Cricetulus griseus: one gene and its partners. The protein of the gene in region 2 purifies or fractionates together with the protein of the main gene of each other region. This does not show direct contact. Links are inferred from orthologs where the notes say so. Each region holds a gene or a part of one and is shown on either strand. Other genes may lie near its edges.

The links. The genes of interacting proteins can lie anywhere in the genome.
Region 1: the proteins of Pml (region 2) and Zmym2 purify together in Homo sapiens (affinity purification with western blotting; 3 studies listed by BioGRID, with this or other methods). This does not show direct contact. The link is inferred for Cricetulus griseus from reciprocal best matches to the Homo sapiens genes PML and ZMYM2.
Region 3: the proteins of Pml (region 2) and Ndufs1 purify together in Homo sapiens (affinity purification with mass spectrometry; 3 studies listed by BioGRID and IntAct, counting the BioPlex papers as one, with this or other methods). This does not show direct contact. The link is inferred for Cricetulus griseus from reciprocal best matches to the Homo sapiens genes PML and NDUFS1.

The regions. Positions count from the first base shown.
Region 1 is NW_023276807.1:212,010,629-212,018,760, reverse strand, and holds part of Zmym2 (zinc finger MYM-type protein 2), read right to left. Parts: intron 7,479-8,132; coding exon 7,327-7,478; intron 3,695-7,326; coding exon 3,580-3,694; intron 3,020-3,579; coding exon of another isoform or gene 3,006-3,019; exon of another isoform or gene 3,005-3,005; coding exon 2,753-3,004; intron 1,400-2,752; coding exon 1,279-1,399; intron 1-1,278. UniProt on the Homo sapiens protein: Involved in the negative regulation of transcription.
Region 2 is NC_048597.1:169,822,288-169,830,436, reverse strand, and holds part of Pml (protein PML), read left to right. Parts: coding exon of another isoform or gene 1-57; exon of another isoform or gene 58-752; intron 753-4,704; coding exon 4,705-4,855; intron 4,856-5,842; coding exon 5,843-6,627; 3' UTR 6,628-8,149.
Region 3 is NC_048595.1:417,270,245-417,278,393, forward strand, and holds part of Ndufs1 (NADH-ubiquinone oxidoreductase 75 kDa subunit, mitochondrial), read right to left. Parts: intron 7,081-8,149; 5' UTR 7,076-7,080; coding exon 7,015-7,075; intron 6,103-7,014; coding exon 6,011-6,102; intron 5,007-6,010; coding exon 4,899-5,006; intron 2,123-4,898; coding exon 2,046-2,122; intron 444-2,045; coding exon 362-443; intron 273-361; coding exon 142-272; intron 1-141.

The DNA of each region.
Region 1 (8,132 bases), on a different chromosome or scaffold from region 2:
ACACTGGAAATAAATGAAACTAAATTGATGCTCCAGAACAGAGCTGAAGAGAAGAAACCTACTCTTACACTTGTTACAAACATGGTCATGCTAAAGGTAAAGTTCATACTTTTATAAGTTCTTGACAGCCACCCTGGAAACCACACTACAATGTGAGAAGTTGTTTACAAACCCAACTCTGCACTTTCTGAAAGTCAGAGTGCTTATTTAAAACACTCAAAATGAAACCATCTGACAGAGGACTGACTCAACAAAGCCTGCTAATTCCAGACAGGATGACAGCAGTCATGCAACTGGAGGACCTTCCAAAGAATGTCTTCAAAAAACTGTTTTCTTTCACATCTAGATTTTTTTTTTTTTTTTTTTTTGGTTTTTCAAGACAGGGTTTCTCTGTGTAGCTTTGGAGCCTATCCTGGCACTCGCTCTGTAGACCAGGCTAGCCTCGAACTCACAGAGATCGCCTGTCTCTGCCTCCCGAGTGCTGGGACTAAAAGCGTGTGCCACCAATGCCCGGCTATAAATATTTTATTTTCATCTCTACCCATTGTACCTACTTTGAAAGACATCTACCTTTGCACTAGGCAAACAGTGGCCAGCAACCTGTATAAAGCCATGTACCGTGAACTTACTATTATACAATATATGGCCTCTTCTAGTTGTAGTAAGACAATCAAGTAGATAGAGACTAAATACCCAAAAACCTAAAATAGTTACCTCTAAATAGAAAGTTTGTGTCCCTGCTTAGCAAGCAACAGAACTGCTCTAATATAAAAGACAATAGCAGAGTGATACTTTTAATAGAGCAACTGCTTAACACGGAGGGAAGCCTAAAGCCTATGTGGTTGGTATTTCACAAGAGGACTCTAAAGTTAAAGTAGAATATAACTTTGGAATATAAACTTTCATTTAAACAAAGAAAGAAATCTCAAAAAATGGTAAATGTCACTTCTTAATGGGGTGTGCGTTAGTGCATGCGTGTTATATTGGTTTTTCATGACAGAGTTTCACTGTGTAGCCCTGGCTGTCCTGGAGCTCTCTCTGGAGACCAGGCTGGCCTTGAACTCACAGAGACCTCTTCCTCTGCCTCCTGAGTGCTGGGATTAAAGGTGTGCACCATCACTGCCCAACAATACCATCATTTAATAGTGTTCAATTCAACCAACTTATACAAACATCTTAAAAAGTCAAGTATCAGGCTGAGCATGTAGATCAGTGGTAGAGCCACCAGTTCAATACCCCAGTACTACAAAATAAAAGTCAAATATCAATAATGTTCACCTTTTAGACAAGTAGCATTCAAACATTTTCACAGGACATCTAGAAGGGTTGGCTGTGTTTTCAATTTGTTCAAATACTGGCTCATCATCTTCATGTTTTCGTTTTCCAGTAGCAATTTTATCTTTAAAAAGCAACAATAACAAAAGTAAGCTTCCTAAAACCAATCGTTTTTTCTTTCTTGTGTATATGTGTATGTATGTTATGTGTATGAATGTGGGCACAGTGTGCCACAGCGTAGATGAGGTCAGAGGAGTTTTGAAAGTCAGTTCTTGTCTTCCACCTATCCTAGGCAGGCTCTCTCTGCTTCTGAACTGCATACTCCAGGCTAGCTGGACTATGAGCTTCCTGGTGATTCTCCCATCTACCTCTCTTCTCCCCATAGGGTGCTGAGATTACAGGTGCACCCTACTGCATCTAGCTTTTTATGTGGGCTCCAGAATTCCAATTCAAGTGGTCAGACATGTGCAACAACTGATTTCACTCACTGGTTTTACTTACCAACACCCTAAAACCAGTTCTGAGGAAAGAAATTACTATTCATCCATAGCACCTGTTTTATCAACATTGGATTAGGTTCTCTTCAGAGTTTTCTGTGTGGTAGGTTTTGATAATGTGTATCTTTCCAACAAAAGGAACTGAGAGGCTAAGAATACAGCTCAGTTGGCAGCTGGTAGAATGCTTGCCTAGTATGCCTGATGCCCAAGTTTGAACATCAGCTAAGCATAAAAACAGGTGCAATGTTTCATGCAGGTAGTCTCAGCAAAGGAAGGAGGACTGCACAGTTCCAAGGTCATTCTTTGATATAATGTTTAAGGCCAGTTTGAATTAGAACTCCAATCTCAAAACAAATAACAAAAAGAAACGAAGACATTTTAAGATACAGTTTGAAGGCAGAGGCAGAAGGATATCTAGGAGTTTGAGGCCATCTTGGTCTACACAGGGAGTTCCAGACTAGCCAAAGATACACAGGTAAGACCATGTCTCAAGAAATAAAGGAAAGAAAGAAAGAAAGAAAGAAAGAAAGAAAGAAAGAAAGAAAGAAAGGAAGGAAGGAAGGAAGGAAGGAAGGAAGGAAGGAAGGAAGGAAGGAAGGAAGGAAGGAAGGAAGGAAAAGGGGGGAATCACAACACATTTTGTTGTGTTTTATGAAAGCAATTGTCTTTAGGTTCTTAATGACTGGTTGAGGTGGGCTTTGATAGAAAAAGTTTGACTATTCCCATCACAAACAATCTCTAAATAAAAATGCTATAATACCAGGGCCAGTGATGGCTCAGAGGTTAAGAACACTTACTGCTCTTGCAGAAGACCTTGGTTTAGTTCCTAGAATCTGTATGGTGTCTTAAAATCATTCATACCTCCAGTTCCAAGGGATCTGACACCCTTATGGCACCCTGAGGCACTGCATATATGTGGTGTATAGGCAAAACACACAGAAAATAAAGATAAATTTTGATTTTAAAAGAAATTATACTACCTTCATTGTCTGTTCCACATAAGGAAGACACCTGGTAACGAAGACATGCTTTGTTTTCCATTGTTAAAGGATTTTTTTTCCAATGCCTAAACACGGTGCCAAAGGAAAGTCTTAAGTGTTGTTCCACTGTTTTCAGGCCAAAATACTTAGTGTTAAAGTAGAACAGGGTGTTCAAAAGAGCTACTGGAGAGTGTGATCCTAGTTGTTTTATCCTCCAGAGATAGTCTTCTTCAACCCGAGAGAATATTGACCCTTAAATAGAGAGAACTATTTTAAAAGAATTATAAATACAACAGTTTAAATTTAACCATGTAGAAATAAAAGTGAATTTAAAACATCCCAATGCCAATCCACTTTCCACATTAGGTCAATGTGAATGAACCTGAAAATTACATATTAGCTCTTTTAACAATATAAAAGGTTGGGGAACAGTGTATGGAACCACCATCCACAGAATAAGGTACAGGATGCTAGCTTCTGTCCTTCAGTAGGACAAACAAGTTATGATCAGAAAATAATTTAAAATATGTATAATCCTTGAAAACAACATGTGCTTCCCAGAAACAAATACATTTTCGTCACATCAGAATCTGTATATTGTTGGTCTTAAGACATAAATATCTAACCTTGCACTCTTCCTCAGAGTAGGCCACTTGTTTTACAAAGTTCTTCAAAAGCATTAGTTACTGACTATTTATTTGCAAATGAGCTCATGGGCACAAGCTCTTACTTTCTAATTTAAATCATACCTAACTATACTTAACATACTTTCTATAAAAACAACAATTCCATTAGCAACTATTAACACATATTAAAAAGAAAATTACCATCTGGAAGGATGCTTGGTTGCCAACTTCGGAGTATTTTACTCAATTCTTGCTCAAACATCTGGTATCCTGGATCAATAAATATGTTGTCCTTTCGATTACTACCACATAAGTACTACAAAAAAAATTATTGGAGGAAAACCAGCTAATTATAAGCAGTCAATGTATTGTACTTTTCATTTCTTAAGAAAAAGTTTTATGTTTAAGAAAAGCAAGGATTCTAATAAACACAAGAGATTACTGGCCATGGGTATGTGTGTACAATGGAAAAAGCATGAATTACCAATTAACCTGTTGCTTAAAACATGCAAAGCTGGAAAGTATAACACAAAATCCTGAATATAAACACTGGATAAGAATCATTAGTCTAGGCCACAGAAATGGTTTAACAAGTAAAGCATTTGCCATGCAAAAAGCATGACATGCAAGGGACCTCAGAACCCACTCTACAACATTGTCCTCTGATTGCCATCTGTTCAGTGTGGCATACACAAACTTTCATCATACATACACACACACTCGCTCAGTGGTCTGTCAGACACAATATAGAATCCTCAATTTATATCACACATGGAGAAAAATAATCATTTTAAAGAATAATTAATGATTAAAGGAAAACATTGAGGAGCTAGCTGGCTGCCTCTGCTCTCCCAATCTTCTGCCAATCCTCTGGTTGGGCTTTTGAAAATGCCGAGAACCTAACCAGGGTGGAGCACCTGTCTAATGTGCTCAAGGGCCCGGGCATTATTTCCAGGATAGCAGAAATCAAAACAGGAACAATATTTTCACTTGAAAACTAAACAATTTATAGGAGAGTTCAGGTCCTTTATAGTATGACTTTACCATCACTCTTTATACTTCATACCTGACACCTACCCATGTTAAACATGGTTCCTGGGAAACTGCCTGACTCTGTCTTCTAGGGATGCCATTTCCTTTCATCCTTTCTGTCTACAAAATTTCTATCTGTATTTCAAAAAAATTCAATTTAAAGTCTTTCATGCTGTGTACACGTTTGTGCAACATACATGTGCATGCACATGCATGTGGAGGCCATACGTGAACACCGAATGTCTTCCTTAATTGCTTCTCCACTTGTTTTATGAGACAGAATCTCTCATTGAACATGGAGCTCAATGATTCAGGTATACTACCTGGCCAGGAAGCCCTAGGAAACCCCATCTCCTCCTTCCTAGAACTGGGATTATAAGCAAATACTTGGCTTTTTACATGGATCCAAATTCAGAACCTCAAGCTTGTGCTGCAAACACTTTATCAACTGAGCTATATCCTTGCCCCATTGGATAGAATTGATAGATACTTGTCCCAAAACTGTTCTACAGATAATCTTTGGGTAGAGGACCATATATTTCAAATCCTTGAGCAAACCATATTATAGTAGCCTCCCTTGCTATTCTCCCTCATGGCCCTTGCCTCAAACTTACAATCCCCCTGCCTCACAGATGTTAGCATGCACCATGTACCATGCCTGGTTTATAATGATTTTCTAAGTCAAACTGAACAGATTCTATTTGATTTTTTCTTTTGTTGTTTTTTCTTTTTTTCTGGGGGGGGTCGTCTTTGTGGGGTTTTTTGTTTTTTGGTTTTTTTTGTTTTTTTTGAGACAGGGTCTTGCTATGTATCCCAGACAAGCGAAGAACTCACAATGCAACACCCAGGCTGACCTCACATTCATAAGCCTACCTGCCTCAGCCCCCACAAATACCATGCTAACCATACTCAGTCCAGATTCAAAACTTACGAATTACATAATTTAGAAAAGCTACTACTTATAGCATCTCTCTTCATCAGAACAAGGCAAAAAATAAAGAGTAGGTACATCCAATGCTTAGAATGTGTATACAGAAAATCAAATGTTAGCAATTAGTTAATGAAATCTATCAACACGAGTATGCCAATTTCTAAAACACATCAATGTCCAGTAAACAGAAAATATTAAAATGAAGGAGTAGCAAGACTCAAGCTTGCTTCATAAATTTACACATATTTTATAGTATTAATAAATGCTGCAGTCTTAAAGTCTCATGAATAAAAAAAAAGTTGATTGTATTTAATTAGCAGTTACTAAAAACTACTCATTTGTATAGAACTTGAAGTTGGAGGTTTCTGTCCCACCAGGTCTTGCCGCCCGTCAGCCCCAAATGATAGGCAGGAAGTATAGGCAGAGCTAAGAGAGGAAAGAAGAGGAGACATTGTGAAGCCACAAGAGAGATGCCATGTAGAGACCAGGGAGATGGGATGTGCCAGTGGTTCTCTGGTAAGATAAGGCCATGTAGAAATACATATATTAGTAGTTATGGGTTAATAATTAAGAGAGAGCTAGCCAGTAAGAAGCCCTAGCCTTTGGCAACAGTTTATAAATTAATATAAGTCTTTCTGTGTTTATTTGGAGCTAATTGGCTACTGGACCAGGCTGGAAAGAAACTCCAGCAACAGAACTACACGGGCCATTGCTCTACTCTTTCTTAAATTTATAAACATAGTGCAAAGCTTTAAAACAAAATCTTACTACATTCCTACGTCTAAAATACTCAAAGGTTAAACCCTAGAATAAATTCTGGGATGATGTCAAGTTTCTCTCTAGAGAGGCTAGCTAGGGACTTGAAAGAGAGAGAAATCTATCAGCATAGACTATGAAATTCTCAAAGAATGAAAATATTAAAAACAACAAATAAACCTTCAAAACTAACCAATCAAGCAACCAAAAAACCTAGAAGCTCATTTTTAGGATATGTTTAGAAGGTGCTTTAAAATAAAATTTTATATAGACTCTAAAACACAATGAAAATAAAGATATGGATTAAAGTAACAAGAAAGGCCTAAAACTTTCTCTCCTTTCCCACTGAACCCCAGGGCTCTGTTTTACACAGAAAAATAGTTGATCTTTACATCTGCATGGTCAAAAATCATGTCTCATGAAACAAAGGGCATATAAAGTTACTTAGCATTGTTAGTGTGGTCTAGGTACATATATTTTTACCCTGTATAGAAACATGAGCAACTCTAAAGGGAATTCTGAAGCTAACCATCTATGAATTCATTTTCTTGCAACTACTAAAAAATGATGTCATCCCCAAACAGACAACACTTTTAAGACTCCTCACAAAAGATGCATGAGGCTAGGCATGGTGGTGCATATGGTAATTCCAGCATGTAGGAGGCAGAGGGAGGTGGGTTTCTGTGGGTCTTAGGTCAGCCAGGGATATACAGTGAGATCCTGTTTTAAAAAACAAAAACAAAACAAAACAAAAAAAAACAAAAACAAAAACAAAAAAGGGGGGACACAGTTGAGCTAAGTCAATTGTTTTTTGGTTTTTGTCTTGATACAAAATATCTAGGAAAATATTTTATGTGCCCTAGGTATCTTTTATATACCCTAGATATTTCCAAAGAGATTAAATTCTACCTTTCTTGGTAAGCAAACAGAAATTCCGGAAACCTGAGACTGGAGAAATGACTCACCCAAGAACACTGCTCAATAATGAAGATCAGAGTTCAGATACAGCACCCACATCATGAAACTCACAAACACCTATAAACACTGGCTCCAAGGTATCTGATACTTTCTCTGGCCTCTGTGGACATTCATACACACATGTGCATACATACATACACATATAAATTACATAAACATTTTAAAGTTCTAGAAAATGAAGCTTAAATTTTCATAGGCAATCTATATATCGAAAAATTCTACCATAACTTTTATTATATTCAAAAACTTACCTCCTGTATACCAAGGCAGAGGTAATAGATGCTGTCAGGTGCGTAATTTTCTCCGTTTGGGCGTCGGATCTCATTGACAAAATGGGCTAACCCACAGCTGAGTTCAGCTGTGGTATGAGAGAGTAGATCTTCTTTTAACTTTACTGATTTAGCTAAAAAGAAATAAAATAATCAGTAACTTATGTCTCTGCACCCATGCTGGGCAGCTCATGACTGCCTTTAACTCCAGCTTTAACTATGATACCATCTTTTGGCTTCCACAGGCATCCATACACACATGGACTATATTCATAGAAATACACACATAGACATAAATAAAATTAAATCCTGAGGTTAGAAAGATGACTAAGCGGGCTGGAGAGATGGCTCAGAGGTTAAGAGCACTGACTGCTCTTCCAGAGGTCCTGAGTTCAATTCCCAGCAACCACATGGTGGCTCACAACCATCCGTTATGAGATCTAGTGCCCTCTTCTGGTGTGCAGATATACACAAGGAAGCAGAATGTTGTACAAATAATTAAATAAATAAAATCTTTGAAAGAAAGAAAGAAAGAAAGAAAGAAAGAAAGAAAGAAAGAAAGAAAGAAAGAAAGAAAGATGACTAAGCAATTAAAAGCAATGACTGATCTTCCACAGGATACAGGCTGATTCCCAGAACCCATATGGCAGCTCACAACTGTCTATAACTTCAGTTCCAGGGAATCCAACATCCTCCCTGGCTTTCATGGGCACCATGCATGTACGCAAAACATTCATGTATATTAAATAATAAATCTTAAGGGAAAATTAAATTAAATCTTGAAGAAA
Region 2 (8,149 bases):
CAGTCTACCTCAAGGCGCCTGCCAGCCACCAGCTTGGTCTTCCCATCATCCCACTGAGAAAGCTGCCGGCTCTGACTCCGAGTCTTCCGGCCAGCCCACCACTTGCCAGAAGTATGCTGCGATATCCTCTATCAGATCTTCATTTTCTCACACAAAGCAAGGAGAGCCACCTGCCTTCATCACACCCTTGGTGGTCTATACCCCCCAGGGATATTATGCCCTGACACAGGCCTCCTCTTGTAGCTCAGGCCACCACCCCTGCCACCGTAGGTCTTCCCGGGCACCCTGCTGATGCCTACACACAGAGGGTGTCAGCACTCTGCTGAATGTACAGAGACTTCAGGACTCTCCCAGGGGCTCCCCCGATTTTAACCAATGGCTCTGAAACTTACCTTTTCCCACTTGCTCCTCGTGGCTTCTCAGCTTAATGCTTCTTCTGTGAGTGTTGCACAGGTAGCACATGTCCTCAGAGATTCTAACAAAGCCGCATGGAGAATCCCCAAGTTCAAGTCCCACCTTGAAGTCTTTGAAATTTCATTACCACCACCCAACCCACCCAAGAGGCCTCATCCCTACCAGTCCAGGCCTAGGCCCTCTATCAAATGGGTCTCTGAGAACCTGAGTTCTTCCCTCCTCTGTGGCTGTTTGCCACCCCATCCCACTATCTGCAATCTTGTGGCCAGATATCCCTGCAGACTCTCCATCCCAAGGCCTGGCAGGTATGACTGCTCAATAAATACTTGTTAAATGATCTCCGTTGTGAACCCTTATTCTATAGCCATCAGATTCTGTGTAGAATCTTCCCTGTGGGAGTGTTTGTCTTCGCCCTGTATGGAACTTAGCTTTTCTCTGGAGGAGATTATGGCTGTCTTCCTTCCACACTTATGAGCATCCAAAGTGGGCAGCGGGACATGGCCTGTACAGTACTGATATTACCTGGGAGCTCTTCGGTTGTAACTAACCTTATCTTCCCAGTTTGTCTCGGACCCCAGCCCATAGGGGGAAGATAGGACCATCTGCCCCCTAGATTTCCTTTCCCCCTCATGTCTTGCTTTCTTCCTGCTTGATTTCAATGCCCGCTATCTGTCCTGTGCTCCTTGACATCAGAAGGATCTTCAGCCTGCCATTTCAGCTGCCAAGCAGTGATATGGCCACGCTGTGTTCCTTGGCACCATCTCTAAATGGACTGCTCTGACTCAGACCACAGCCACTTGTGCCTCAAGCCCTCAGACCTACCATCACCATCATCATCTCCCTGTACTTTGGAGGGAGGGACAGTGCTCCAGGGCTACCCAGCCACATATCCTTGCTGTGAGGCCTTTGTTCTGCCTTTCAATGAGAAGCTGTTCTGTAGTATCGGTCTGTTTGGGTGCCACCTTTTCCTAGTGATCCAGTGGGGGTCTGCGCCATCTTGGCCTGAAGCTCTGTCTGAGGAGAGAGACTGAGCAAGGAGGAATGCATTGGAAGAGCTCGCCCTTACATCAGGGTCACAGATTTGGAGCAGAAGTCAAGTCCTAGTCTCTTGTAGAGTCCATGAGACGAGAACTGTTGCTTAAACCCTGGAAGGGTAGTCAAGCCCTGTGCCTAGCCAGTGCCGCTGTTTGAGGAGTCACAGCAGAAGAGTTAGGTACTCTCACCCATAATTGTGACAGATGATCAGACACCTTGGCAGCAGAAGGACCAAGCAGGAAGGGATCCAGCTAAGGGGGCAGGCTGTGATAGACCTAACAATGATGACTGGCAGAGGAAGGGAGGCCCATGGGCAGCCACTGGTGCAGAGATGCAATCATGACACCGATGAGTGTGCATATCAGAGAATGTGAGTTGGGTGCTTGGTTGAGAAGGTAGGGCCTGTTTGCCTAAGAGCAGAGCTGCCTGCAGAAGGTCTGGAGCAGCAGGCAGAAGCAGGCAATCAGATGGCCTGGCTTCCTAATATCTTTGTTGTGTCTCCAAGGCCTTCAAGACTGCATGAGCTAGGAGTTTGTGTCTGTACACCCCAGAGATGCCTGTGTCTTGCTAAACTGAGGCCAGCTGTAGCTGAAGCTTGAGTGCTGAGAAAGTTCCCCAGGATCACAACTCTCACTGGGCACTAATGGAAGATACTAGATGGCTCCTTCAAGCTGGATGCCAGCTTCCTAAAGGATTTGGCTTGTGTCTGTTCAGCTGATGATCCAACATGGAATGAACCCCTATGTAGACCCAGGGTTCTCAAACCTGGCTATGCACTGAGGAGTTTAAACAATTGCAGATTACTGGGTCCCACTCCCTCAGACTCTAATTGAATTGTTCCATGTGCAGCCTGGACTTTCAGAGCTTTTTATGCAACTCAGGCCTGGCCAAAATCAAGCACCACTGAATTGGGGGATTTAGTTGCACATGTAGGTGAGAGGAATGTTCATTTGTTTTAAAGAAAGTGACATTTACATAGAGGGTGTTATACATGAGGGACAAGACAGGCTGGCTCTTGCCTCTGGGAACAGGGAAGGAAAGAGCTTATAACCCATAGTGACACTTAGGTTCCGCCATCCCATCCCTTGGGCTCTCATCACTCCACAGTTTCTTGAAGTATTTTGCTCTTCCCTTTGCTGTTCTCACTCCTAGGCCAACCTCTATTTTCTCAGCTCTATTCCCTCTGTCTCCACATCCCCTTCTTCCACCAGCACCTGTCTGTCTGTCTGTCTTCTCCCTCCCCCTGTCCTCCTTCACACCCTATTCTGGTTTTTGGAATCAGATGGAGGAGTGAGGGCTGCAGATGTGACCAGAGGTTGCCTTGCTGAGCCAGGAGGAAAAGATTCTGGTGCCAGATGCTCTGTATGCCCTCCTGTAGGCTCTCCTCTTTAGAAATGTCTTGCTTAAGTGGTCCACTCCTGCAGGCTGGTTGGGAGTTAAGAGAAGAGGTGAATAGGGAGTTTATAGCTGCCTAGCTTAAGTACTGCAGTGTTCCTCTGCCTTAGTGCATGGCTGATCTCAGAGATGGGGGGCGGGGGGAGGCAGGGCTGTGTCTAGGCTAAAAGGTAGACCCAGCCTTTCCTCCGGTTACAGCACAGAGGAAGGGAAGGAGGCATCTTGTTAGTGAGACACCCACAGGTTCCCTCAGAGAAGGCAGACTTAGAAATGAGGCTTCCTGCCATGTGGTGTGAAGATGAAGGCGCTAACCGAAAAGTCCAGCTGTGTGGCACTCCAGGTGTCCTGCTCTGGAAGATTGCCTTTGAGGCATAAAGGAACATCACCAGAAGGAGATGGGAGTCATTGCCAGGAGTCAGGTAGAAGCGCCTGGGGCCACAAAGGGGCTTTTGAAGTAATGTTTGAAGCTAGAAGAAGACCAAGGAAGATGAAGCCCGTGTGTCATGCCAGTGGCAGCAGAATCGACTGGGCTAGTGAGCCGGCTCTTCAAAGGCTGGCAAGAGTGAACATTCCCAGATCAGGGAAGGACAAGGCCAGGGTGGCTCAGCTCTGCCCCCAAGTCCACTTGTGAGGATAGACACATACAGACAGAAACCCTTCTCAGATACCTCTAGCTTGTGTCAAGTTAACAAAACAACAACCAAGACAGCACTTATGCTTTCTCTCAAGCCAGAGGCATTAGCTGGAGGCCACAGCGAATAGAGGTCTCAGCCCCAGGTGATAACTCCATTGACAACCAGAGCAGTCTGTAAGAAGACAGACCAGGGCCGTCTCTCGGCTCTGTCCCAGCAGTTCCCCATCTGTCCCATTTGGCCCTGTCTAATGTCCAAAAGTGACATGCATAGGATATTCACAAGCTGTGCTGTTAAGTGACTATGTATTATCCTCAGACACTCTAACCTGTCTGTAGCTCCAGGTCCTTGAGAAAATCTCAGAGGTAGAGAGAGCCCTTCCCATCCTTGAGGCCTAGGGCCTTTGAAATGGTGTTCCAGCCAGGACAACCTTGCCACTGCGCTGGAGAGCCAAGCCTTTTTGCAAGCCTGGGGTGGGTTCCTGAGCTCCAAGGCTCCTCAGTGCAGCTGAGGTATGGATGTGGAGAGCTGAAATCTCCAGGATCTGAGGCTCCGAGCTGCTCCCACCCAGACCCTCTCCCAACCAGGGAATGCATGTCCACCAAGATGTGGACGTCAAGAGGCCAAGTAGCCCTTCCTTTCCCTAAACTGAAAGACACCATGGGTCAATCTGGTTTTGAGGGCTAGGAAAGCCAGGCTCCTGCCCCTTCCAAAGAATCGCTTGGGGCTGTGGATGAGACTCCTATCTCGTTCTCATCTGTGCCATTTGTTTCTTCTGAGTCTGCTCAGAGAGGAAAAATTTGGAGCAGATACCTCAGTCCTTGCATACCTGAGGCATTGGCCCCTTCCCTGAGCCTCCGCAAGCAGGCACAACTTGCCCCACCCCACCCTACCCCATCTCACACTTCACATACTTGTGCCAACACTGTCCATAGATTCATACCCCTCACACGTGCATCCCACGTACACATCTGTACACACACCCATGCTCACCTGTATGGTCTTGCCCTTTCACACCTCCCTCTCTAAGGAGTGTGACCCAGTTCACACCTGCACACGCATCCCCTCTACTCTACCCTCTGGTGCACACAGATGCTCTTACTGTGCCAGCTTAGTAACATTCCTACATCTTCCTGTATGTGTGCACACTTGCTCTAGAGTGCAGGGTCATCTCACCTGGTCCTTCGGGCCTCTGAACTCCTGACCTATTGGCTTTTTTGTGTTGCAGTCCTCCCTCGAGCTGGAAGACAGCAGCAGTGAATCCAGTGACCTCCAGCTGGAGGGCCCCAATTTCCTCAAGGCATCGGACGAGAGCCTCGCTGACCCCCAAGCGGAAGACAGGGCCCTGGTTTTCTTTGACCTCAAGATTGACAGTGAAAGTGGGTTCCCCAAGAGCTACACCATCTCTTTTACATCATCTCTTTTTTTATCTTAGTCTCTGAGTCCTCAGGAAAAGTGCAGTTAGAGACACCTGGAAGGCTCCAGCCAGCCCTTAGCACTGACAGGCTGTGGCAGCCAGGTAGACAGAGGACTCTGACCCCACCTAGGATATCTGATGTTGCCATATCTGCCTAAGTGGAACGTGGGTATGGGAGGGAGATATGTAATGCCATCGGTTCACGTCTGACAAGACCTTCTCTATACAGAGAGTCTGGGAACAGTGTGTGAGCTCATTGCTGACAAGTAATCCACACTTGACCTTTGGCTACAATCACACATTTCCCCAAACAGGGCCCAGCCCACAAAGGGATACACAGGGAGGCTTGCAGAACCTAGATCTCAGGGAGTTGTGACTCCTCCTCTTAGAAGCCCCCTGTCTTCCTCGCTGTCATCCTTGCCCAGCCCCTCAGCTCTGACCCTTTGTCCTGGCTAACAGTTGTGGGCCCTGCCATTGTGGCTGGCCTACCAGACAGAAGCATCAGGTATTTGCATAGCACACATCTGTAGGCTTCAGGGGGAGACTCTGGGCCATGCCCTTAGGGGGTACACAGGCCATTTCTGTTGTCTTCAGTCCTGGGCTGGTACTGATGGGGTTGGAGGTAGGAGTAGGATTATAGAAGGCCCAGAAGAAACCCTCTGGGGTCTCTGGTGGAGGTGGAGGCTGAGAAAATACAAAAAGGGCAGAGTTCTTAGGATTGAGCAAACTCTAGGAGGGCAGGAGGGATAGGGAAAACCACCTTGCCGACAAGTGAGCCCCCGACCCGTCCCATCAAAGCTAGGCAAGAACTACATTGGTTCAAGAACTATTTGGTTCCTGCCAGCAGGCCTCAAGGTGGGCTCTCTAGATAGTGGGTGAGCAGCCTGGCCCCTTGCACCCAGTGCCTCCTAAACCCTGGAGCCTTACCCTGCCCTTCTTTCCTGCCTAGCCCAGAAAATTAGCCAACTGGCAGCTGTGAACCAGGAAAGCAAGTTCCGAGTACTCATCGAGCCGGAGACCTTCAGTGTCTACTCTAAGGCAGTCTCCCTGGAGGTCGGACTGCAGCACTTCCTCAACTTTCTCACCTCCATGCAGCGCCCCATCTTGGCCTGCTCTAAGCTGTGGGGGCCTGGGCTCCCCATTTTCTTCAAGGCCCTGGATGATATTAACAAGCTGTGGGAATTCCAGGGTGCCATCTACGGCTTCTTGGCTGTGTTGCCTCTCATTCAGGAACGCATACCCGGTGCCAGCAGCTTCAAACTCAGGAACCTGGCCAAGACCTACCTGGCGAGAAACATGAGTGAACGGAGTGCCCTGGCTGCTGTGCTGGCCATGCGAGACTTGTGCTGCCTCCTTGAGGTCTCCCCAGGGCCACAGCTGGTCCAGCATGTCTACCCCTTCAGTAACTTACAGTGCTTCTCTTCCCTGCAGCCCCTAGTTCAGGCTAGTGTCCTGCCCCCGGCCGAGGCCCGCCTCTTGGCCCTCCACAATGTGAGCTTTCTAGAACTGCTGACTGCATACCGCAGCAACCAGCAAGAGGGTTTGAAGAGGTATGGCCGCTATCTGAGCCCGCAGACCTCTTCCTCATCGGCTTCCACCCAACTTGCTCAATACCTTCAGGCTCTGAACACCTACATGGAAGAACTGTCAGAAGGGTGTGCCCCAGCCAGGTCAGAAGGTAACTCTACTCTCTCTGGCCAGAGCTTGGCCAAAGAGGCCTCCGAGCAGAGCTGACAGAAAGGGATATCTGGCTTAGCCGGTAGCCACAGAGGGAGGGGCATCCTTGAGCCAGGCCCCACCCTTCACCACATTCCCAGGCCCTGCTCTCCAACACAGAGCTGTTCTTTAGTTCGGAATAGGTGCCCTTTATCTGGGACCAAACACTCTTTCTCTAAAATTCCTGCAGCAGACATCAAAGGCACCCCAGACCTAAGTCCTTCCTCTAGAAGACAGAATTAGGAAGACTTTACAAGGTGTGGCCTCTGGGCTCTCTGATTGGCCCTCATATGGCCCCAGGCACCTCACCTACAACTACCACGGGGGGCCTTGCAGCTCCTCCCTGATGCTCAATCAAAATGTCCCAAGTGATCTGCTGGTAGCTCCCACGAATAACACCCTCAGGCAGAGGTCCTCAACCTGCAGGTTGTGACCATTGGAGAACTCACATTTCTGGTGGTCTTAGGAACCCCCAGCCATAGCTGTAACCTTGCTGCTGAGCAGTGTCTCAATTGCTAAGATAATCAGAAATAAGTGTTTTCTATGGTCATGGCCCACAAGGTGAGAACCACTGCTCTAAGACAATGCTTACCACTATACCAGCAACCCCCTGGGCACCCAAAGTGCCTCTCAAACCAAATTGCCCTTCATGAATTTGGGTTCTCCCAGCTTCCACTGCCCAGAGACCAACTGTGCTCATGAAAAAAAAAAAAAACACTTCCATTCCAAAGGGGCCTTCTAGCATCAGAGAGCTAGAAGCTGTTGCTCCATCCATATCCCCGTTTCTACAGACTGACACTTCCAACTTTGTTCTTTGTTCATCAGGCCTTCTAACCCCCCTTGCACTCAGCCCTTTCAAGGGACACCCAGTAGGACACTTGCATCGAGACCTTTGGGAAGGTGGCTTTACCGAGGTCCCCAGAATCAGGCTGTCTGGAGTAGAGCCTGCAGCATTAACAGGTTCTCCGGGCAACGCTGTCTGCTCAGTTCTGAGCATCACTGCTGTCACAGACCACCTCCCCATCAAAGGGAAGTAGAGAAAACACCTGGCTGTGTACACTGAATATGATTAGGCCAGAGCTCTAGTGTTCTGTGAAATGAGCTGGCTGGCCTGCATTTTTATCTCAGAGTCCCCAGCCAGTTCTGTCATCCTGGTCTCTCAGTGTGGACAGCAGCTTGCTGGCGCAGCAGATAAGACCCTACCTCTCATGCCAAGCCACTGGTCCCCAACCTTATGATCATCTTGAACGTCAGCTTCCCTATGCTTATCTGAACTGTTGCTGGTGTTGTCCACCTCCTCACCCATTCCCTGCTTCCTGCTTCAAGGAATTTCCCAGATAGCCCAGAGGTCCGGTCTTGATAGGTTTGGTGGTCTCCACTTTCAAGTGAGCGATGCCTGCCCACACCTCTGACCCGTCCTGATGTTTGAAGGCATCCTGTAGAAGCCCATTTCTACCATGGTGAGACTGAGCTCTGACAGCAATCCATTAGAGCTCTGGTTCTGGGTGGGGCTGAGGATGTCGAGGAAAAGAGGCTAAGA
Region 3 (8,149 bases), on a different chromosome or scaffold from region 2:
CAAAATATATGAAAAAAAAAACACCCAAAACAAGAAAAACAAAATCTAACTTTCCCCACTAAATAATGGCTATCATTTCAAGTGTTATTATTCAATGAAAATAAGTTAGTACCCAGTGATATTCCTGAAGAGAAACATTACCTGATGCATCGAGTACACTGTATACATCTAGTCATGATAGTCTTTACCAATGGTCCAATGTTCTTGTCCTCCACAGCACGTTTCCCCTCTAGAAACCGGCTCCTATCGCTTCCAAACATCATGGACTGGTCCTTAAGTAGATTACGAGACAGTCAATCTAATGCTGCTAATGAAATTAAAATGAATCAATCAAAAAGATTAACAGAATTGTTCTAGATACCTGCAGATCACATTCACCTCCCTGGTCACAAATAGGACAGTCCAATGGGTGATTTGCTAATAAGAACTCCATCACACCTTCTCTGTATGAAAAATTGAATATATAAAGTAACGTAAGCAGCTACCACTAAAAAATGGCGACCTTTCCTTTAGACTACCTCCATAACCTTCAAAGGTATTTTTTTACAGTTAGCGTAAATTTTACATTGACTTCCAGACATGGTACCATACTAGTATTCAGCTAGTATTAAACACAGTTTGAACATGTTCATAGAGTTTCAACTAAAATACTGATCCTAAGAAATTGACTTTCAGGGCTTTGTTTATTCACTTATTTGAGACTGGCCTCCAACTCACAATGTAGTCAAGGATGTCCTTGCATTCTGATTTTCCTGCCTATACCTTCCAAATGATGGAAATACAGGTATATGCCACCATCATCAGCATTTTTTATTTTTTTAAAGACAGGGTCTTGCTATGTAGCCCATGTAGCATCAATCTCCCAATTGCTGAAACTATAGGCATGTGCTATTATGCTCATATTTTAAAATTATGACTTTTGGGCTGGAGAGATGGCTCAGTGATTAAGAGCAGTGGTTGCTCTTTCAGAGGATCCAAGTTCAATTCCCAGCACCTACATGGCAGCTCACAACTGTCCGTAACTCCAGTTCCAGGGGATCTGGCACCCTTATACAGACATGCATACAGGCAAGATACCAATGCACAGAAAATAAAATAAATGTTTTTTTTTTACTTTTTTTTTTTTCAAGACAGGGTTTCTCTGTGGCTTTGGAGGCTGTCCTGGAACTAGCTAGCTCTTGTAGACTAGGCTGGCCTCGAACTCACAGAGATCCGCCTGCCTCTGCCTCCCGAATGCTGGGATTAAAGGCGAGCGCCACAACGGCCCAGCTATGTATTTTTTTAAATGATGACTTTTAACAATACAGAACTCTCAAACATCGCTAGGGGTAGGGTGTAGCTTAACTGGTAGAATGATCACCTAGCATGCATGGAGCCTTGAATTCAACTCCACTACTGCATTACTGAGGCATGGTGTCCTATGCCTGTAATCCTGGTACTAAGGAAGGGGAACCAGACTCTCAAGGTCACCTTCAGCCTCATGAGTGTGAGACCATCCTGTGCTACATGAGAGCATCTCCAAAACAAATTCTGTTGAAATTACTGAAAGGTTCTCAGAAAATATCAACATTAATTTTGTTGTTGTTGTTTTTTGAGACAGGGTTTCTCTGTATTGCTCTGCAGACCAGGCTGGAGTCGAAATCACAGAGATCTGCCTGCTTCTGCCTCCCAAGTGCTGGGATTAAACATGTGCAACACCACCACCCAGCTTCAACATTAATTTAAAATGAAGATGGGGCTGGAATTACATACAGCACTATGGCAAAGCACTCACCTGTATCAGTTCTATAGCTTTACCACAAGCTTCAGAAACACACTGAGCACCAGAGCCAATGTATCATGAACTCAGCTCAGCAAGCCCTGGGTACTACTCATCACGAGGTGAATTTTCAACGCTGACACTATTCCAAGCAGTATCTTGACTACTTGAGCTGACCTCCTCTACTGTGTACTCATTTCTGCTGTTCTCCAAAGGCTGACACTAAATCCCTCATCTATGGGAGGCATAAATACCTCCTGACAATTCTACAGCAGTAACAACATACCTGGCTTTCTTAGATTTTTCCGAGTTAGTCAGGATATTCCAGCCCTTCATAACAGGCATAGCACAAGCAGCTACAACCTAGAATTTCAATGGAGAAATCCATATTTGTATTTATTTGTAGTCATAAGCAATGCTACATACAAAACATTAAAAAGTAAACAAAACCCTGGGACATACAATGAGTTGCATGATAGCCTGAGATCTGTCTCAAAGACTAAAAAAAAAAAAAAAAAAAAAAAGCAGAGATTTATTTTTCAAAATAGATTTTAGTTTTCAGCTAGGTATAGTGGTGTATGCCTATAACCTCAGCACTCAAGAGGTAGAGGCTGTAAGTGTGAGGCTAGCCAAGTCTAGCCAGGGTTTTATTTATAGTGGGACCTTCTCTAAAAGACAACAAACTTTTTTTCCAGGTATTTTTATAACCATAAGATAATCTGAACCTTCATGTTATTTTTTCCCCCCTGAGACAGGGTTTCTCTGTGTAACAACCTTGGCTGTCCTGGAAATTGCTTTATAAACCAGGCTGGCCTCGAAGTCACAGAGGTCCACCTACCACCACCACCCAGTCCCCTTCATGTTAATCTTAAAAAATAAATAAGGCATTGCTATGGTTTGTCCCCAATCTACAAAGACTTATGAGAAGCAGTGTCAAGTGGGAGGCAACTGGGACATGGGAGAGTAATACTGGTATCTCAGTGACTAGGTCTTAGAGTAGATTAGCTCTCACGAGAAGTGGGTTATTGCCAAATAAGGGGGGTGGGCCCTCTTGCTTTTCCTTCTGTCATATTATACAACAATCACATGTCTACCAAATGTAGTTGCTTGATTTGGGGCTTTCAGACTCCAAAACTATGAGCTAAATAAACCTCTTCATAAAGTATCCAGTCTTGGATATTTTGTTATAGCAACCCCAAAGAGGCTAAGATATATTAGTAGTCCTTAAGGATTTTTTATTAGTCAAAGCAGCATTTTATCATGCCCTCAAATCATTTTTTTCTTTTTCTTTTCTTTTTTTTTTTTTTTGAGATAGGGTTTCTCCACCTGGCTCTCTATGTAGACCAGGCTGTCCTCAAACTCAGAGATTCAACTACCTCTGCCTTCTAAGTGCTGGGATTAAAGGTGTGCACCATTATGCTTGGCTCTTACTTTTTAAACTTTTTCCTGGTCTGTCTGTCTGTCTTTAATTTGTTCTTACTTAAAAAAATGTAAAGACAGGGTCTTACTGTGTAGTCCGGCTGACCTGGAACTCACTATGTAGATCAGGCTAGGTTCCCACTGGCAGGTCTGCCCGCCTCTGCCCTGTGTGCTGGTATTAAAGGTGTGCACTATCACACCCATCCTGATCACCATTTCTGTGCCTCAAAAACCAGGAACAGGTAGACAAGATGGCTCAGTGTGTAAAGTTACTTACTATGTCAACCCTGGCACCTACATAAAAGAGAAGGGTGATCTGACAAGTTGTCCCCTAATCTCCACATTTCATGTCACATGCATACATATCATGCGCACATACATGATTAAAAAAAGGCATGGCAGCTCATGTCTATATTAGCATTGAGGAGACTAGTGGGTAATGGCACTTGCTGCCAAGCTTGACAGATGTACATGTGCAGCAGTATGCATATAATATACACTCAGGCATGCATGAAAGCAAGCACACAAATATATACACTAAATATAATAAAATTTTAAAAATAGTTTAACATTAGCGTGTGCTAGATATTAAATTTGAGGTCATCCTGAACTATGTAGAGAGACTTTGTCTCAAAAAAATGAAACCAAGGATCAGTGAGACGGCTCAGTGAGTAAAGGCACTTTCATACTTGGTGACCTGAGAGTTCAATCCCCAGGACCCACACGGTAGAAAGATTCAGACTCCTGTAAACTGTTCTCTGGCTTCCACATGTGCATCAAGACACGTACCCCAGACCTCATTTCCTACTAATTAAATGAATACTTATCTTTTAAATTAAAAAAGCAAACAAACAAAGAACAACAGTAACAAAAACCAAGAAAAGAGTCCTAGGATTTAAGGAGCTAGCTTGGTCAGTAAAGTGCTTGCTGTGTTAGGAATTTAAGTTTGATCCCTAAAACCAATATAAAAAAAGCTGGGCATAGTGGTGCCTCAGCATTGGGGAGGCAAAGACAAGCACATCCCTGGGGCTTACCGCTTTATCCTAACCAGAGAAACCTGTCTAAAAACAAGACGGAGGATCCCTGAGGAATGACACGTGAAGTTGTCCTTTTGCGAGCGCACGTGCACACACACACTCACACACACCCCAGCCTTGTTTTCATTTGAGGCATTGCTGACTTACAGCTGTATACACCAAAGTGCATTTACATAACTAAAGTCAACTTCTCTACAACTTGGCCAAGTGAAAACGGCACAGAATAAGCACTTCCACATGCTACATCTGCACCATGAGTCTTAACATACTCATACCTGGAGGCCTCATGGCAGCTGCGGGGCATGTCTTTAATCCCAGCACTCAGGAGGCAGAGGCAGGCAGATCTCTGTGAGTTCGAGACCAGCATGGCCTACAGAGTGAGTTCTAGGGCAGCCAGGGCTACACAGAGAAACCCTGTCTCTAAAAAGCAAAAAACAAAATAAAAAACAAACAAACAAACAAAACCAAAAACCAAAACCAAAACCACCTTGAATTCCTAGACTTGTTATATGGCCTTAATGTTTATACAACACTTCCATCAATGTATTTCACTTTGAAATGAATCATCTATATACAAAAAAACATTGAATTTATAATAGTATTGATGTTACAGAAAAGTTTGCTGCAAGATTTAAAGTTTTCTCCCTCCTATTGCATGATATGGAATTCCAGGCATCATGTACCTTTGGAGCTTTCTCAATTTCCACCAGGCACATCCTGCAGTTCCCAGCAACAGACAACCTTTCATGGTAACAGAACCGAGGGATCTGAATGCCAACCTTCTCGCAAGCCTAGAAGACAAAACTTTGCATTAGAAGATCTTCACAGCTGGGCAGTGGTGGCTCATACCTTTAATCCCAGAACTTTGGAGGCAAAGGCAGGCAGATCTCTGTGAGTTTGAGGCCAACCTGGTCTACAGAGTGAGTGCCAGGAAAGCTAGGACTGTTACATAGAGAAACTCTGTTTCAAAAAACAAACAAAAATCTTCGCTTGGGTTGGAGAGATGGCTCTGAGGTTAAGAGCACTGACTGCTCTTCCAGAGGTCCTGAGTTCAATTCCCAGCAACCACATGGTGGCTCACAACCATCGATAATGAGATCTGGTACTGTCTTCTGGAATGCAAGTGTACATGTAGACAAAACACTGTACATAATAAATAAATTAATAAATTAAATATTTAAAAAAAGACCCTGACTTTGTGCTTGTCCTCACTGAAACAGAAGGTGGGTGTGAGTGGGGTGGGGTCCTTTATTACTAACATCCCTAAATACCTCTACTTTCACCCACTACTCCATATGTTCCTGAAGAGATTTCACTCTTTACTTTGATTCCCAAACCGTCAGCTCTGAAGCTGCCTCAAAGGACACAAGCATCCTCAAAGTTTCCTCATTTTATGTGTAAGAAATTAGGTAAAGTACCCACAGTCTGTGGTGAAGTCTTTTCTCCCATTATCTGCTTTGAGCCATTGTCCACAAGCTTCCCGGTCAAACTGTCCCAGTGGCTTCATGCCTGGACTTCCCTTTTGTTTTTTGGTTTTTTTTTTTGTTTTTTTGAGACAGGGTTCCTCTGTACAGCTCTGGCCCTCTTGGAACTCGCTCTGTAGACCAGGATGGCCTCAGACTCTTAGAAATCCTCCTACCTCTGCCTCTCAAATGGTGGGATTAACGGTGTGCCCCACCACTGCCTGCTACTGAATGTTTTGCTTTGTTTTTAAACTAAACAGTATGAAGTAAATAATTTTTGAACAAAAATCAGAGAACATACCGTCACAAAAATAATTACAACATATGCATACCTGCAAGACAGTAGTTCCTGGTTCCACCATGACAGACTGACCATCAACAAATACTTCAATCAAGTTACTTGCTGCTGTGGCAGTTGTTCGAACTGATCATCAAAACAAAAATGAAAAACAAATTAACAGAGCTTAACTCATTACAGCAGAAGCTACTGGATTAACCATGCATAAAAATTTTCATTTTTGCTAGTCCTCTTCCTCAAGATGCAAACTTCTAAAAGTACTAAAGCAGCACAAAAAGTTTTTCAATTCAATTCTATCAAACATATATCTTTAGACTTAGAAAAGCCTAACAAGGCCCTTTTTCCAGGTAACCCTGGCTGGTGGGGAACTCAATACCTGCCTCTGCCTTCTGAGTGCTAGGATTAAACATGTGTGCCACCAACACCAGGGCTTAGACATCTATTTTTAATAGTAGTTTAAGATGAGACTTTAAGGCCTTGGTGGCACATGCCTTTAATCCCATCACTTGGGAGATCTTTGTGAGTTTAAGGCCAGCCTGGTCTACAGAGCGAGTGCCAGGATAGGCTCCAAAGCTACACAGAGAAACCCTGTCTCGAACCCCTCACCCAAAAAGATGAGACTTTAATATTGCTTTATCAAAACCAAATGACCACTGTTTTTGGTTTTGAAACAGAATGTAGTTTCTAGTATTTTCTATTATGTGTTTTTTGTTTATTTTGAAAATTTTTTTGTCAACTTGGGTCAATTGTTTCTACTCTTATTTAATGTAAATTATGGGCTCAAAAATATCTGATAGACCATGGAACTGACAAAGGTAAGTCTAATACTCATGAACATATATATATATATATGGCTCAGCAGTTAAGAGCACTGACTGTTCTTCTAGAGGTCCTGAGTTCAATTCCTGACAATCACATGGTGGCTCACAACCACCTTGAATGAGATCTGGTGCCCTCTGCTGGCATGCAGGCAGAAGACTGTATACATAATAAATAAAATAAAATAAAAAAAACAAACAAACAAACAAAAGAACTTACCATATCCTTTAGCAGACTTAGAAAGGGCTATTATGGCCCTTTTTACAGGTATCCTTAACATGTTGGCTAAAAAATAAAATAAAGATGAATTATAGTTATAATTCATAATTATAAAACATCTGGTATTCATATACATTATTCTAAGAGAATCTTCAGAAGTCCTGACGTTTTCTCTCAAATTGTATATACAACATTCAGTCTCAGAGACATTAGCTTATACAATGTCACATAGCTAAAAAGCAGTTAGCATACAGTAGACTTTGGGTCCTCCTCATCTAGATAAGTGCTTTACAACTGAACTACATCTCCAGTGTAAATTTGGGCTTTGTGATGCAAAGGGCAGTTTTGTTATAATCAGAAGGAAGTGGTGAGGGCTTAGAATACAGCTTGGTTGGTATACAACACACAAGAGTGCTTGCCTAGCATTCAGGAAGTCCTAAACTATAACCACAGCACAACATAAATTGGCTTACATGTCTGTAATCCCAGAATCTGGGAGGATCAGAAGTTTAAGGTCATCTTTTGCTACATAGCAAGTTTGAAGTCAGGGAGAGATACAGGAAACACTATCTTAAAAGAAAAAGAGCTAAGAATAAAGTAAAATAAATTGCAAAAATAACTATCACCTTTAGTCCCAGCACTTGGGAGGCAGAGGCAGGTGGATCTCTGTGAGTTCGAGACCAGCCTGGTCTACAGGAGCTAGTTCCAGGACAGTCTCCAAAGTCACAGAGAATGCCTGTCTCCAAAAACCAAACCAACCAAACAAACAAAAACCCCCAAAACAAAAAATTACCAGCTATTTAAAATAAATAAAATACCTTAAGGACCATTGTTTTACACCGAGTAGTAAGTTTATCTCACAGACCTGGAATTTGCCTGTATTAAGCTTATATCCTGAATGTATCACGACCTCATGGAATCTCCCACTTCAGTACCAATTCCCAAGAGCTCATAAAAATAAGCTTTACAGCAATGGTCCTCCATTGGACCTGGTGTTACAGGACTATAATCTCAGTTACTTGGGACACCAAGACAGCAGGATCACATTTCCAGGCCTGCCTAGACCATGAGTGAGTTCAATGTCAGCCTGGATAACTTGTTGAGATCCTATCTCAAAAAACAGAAAGGTGACTGG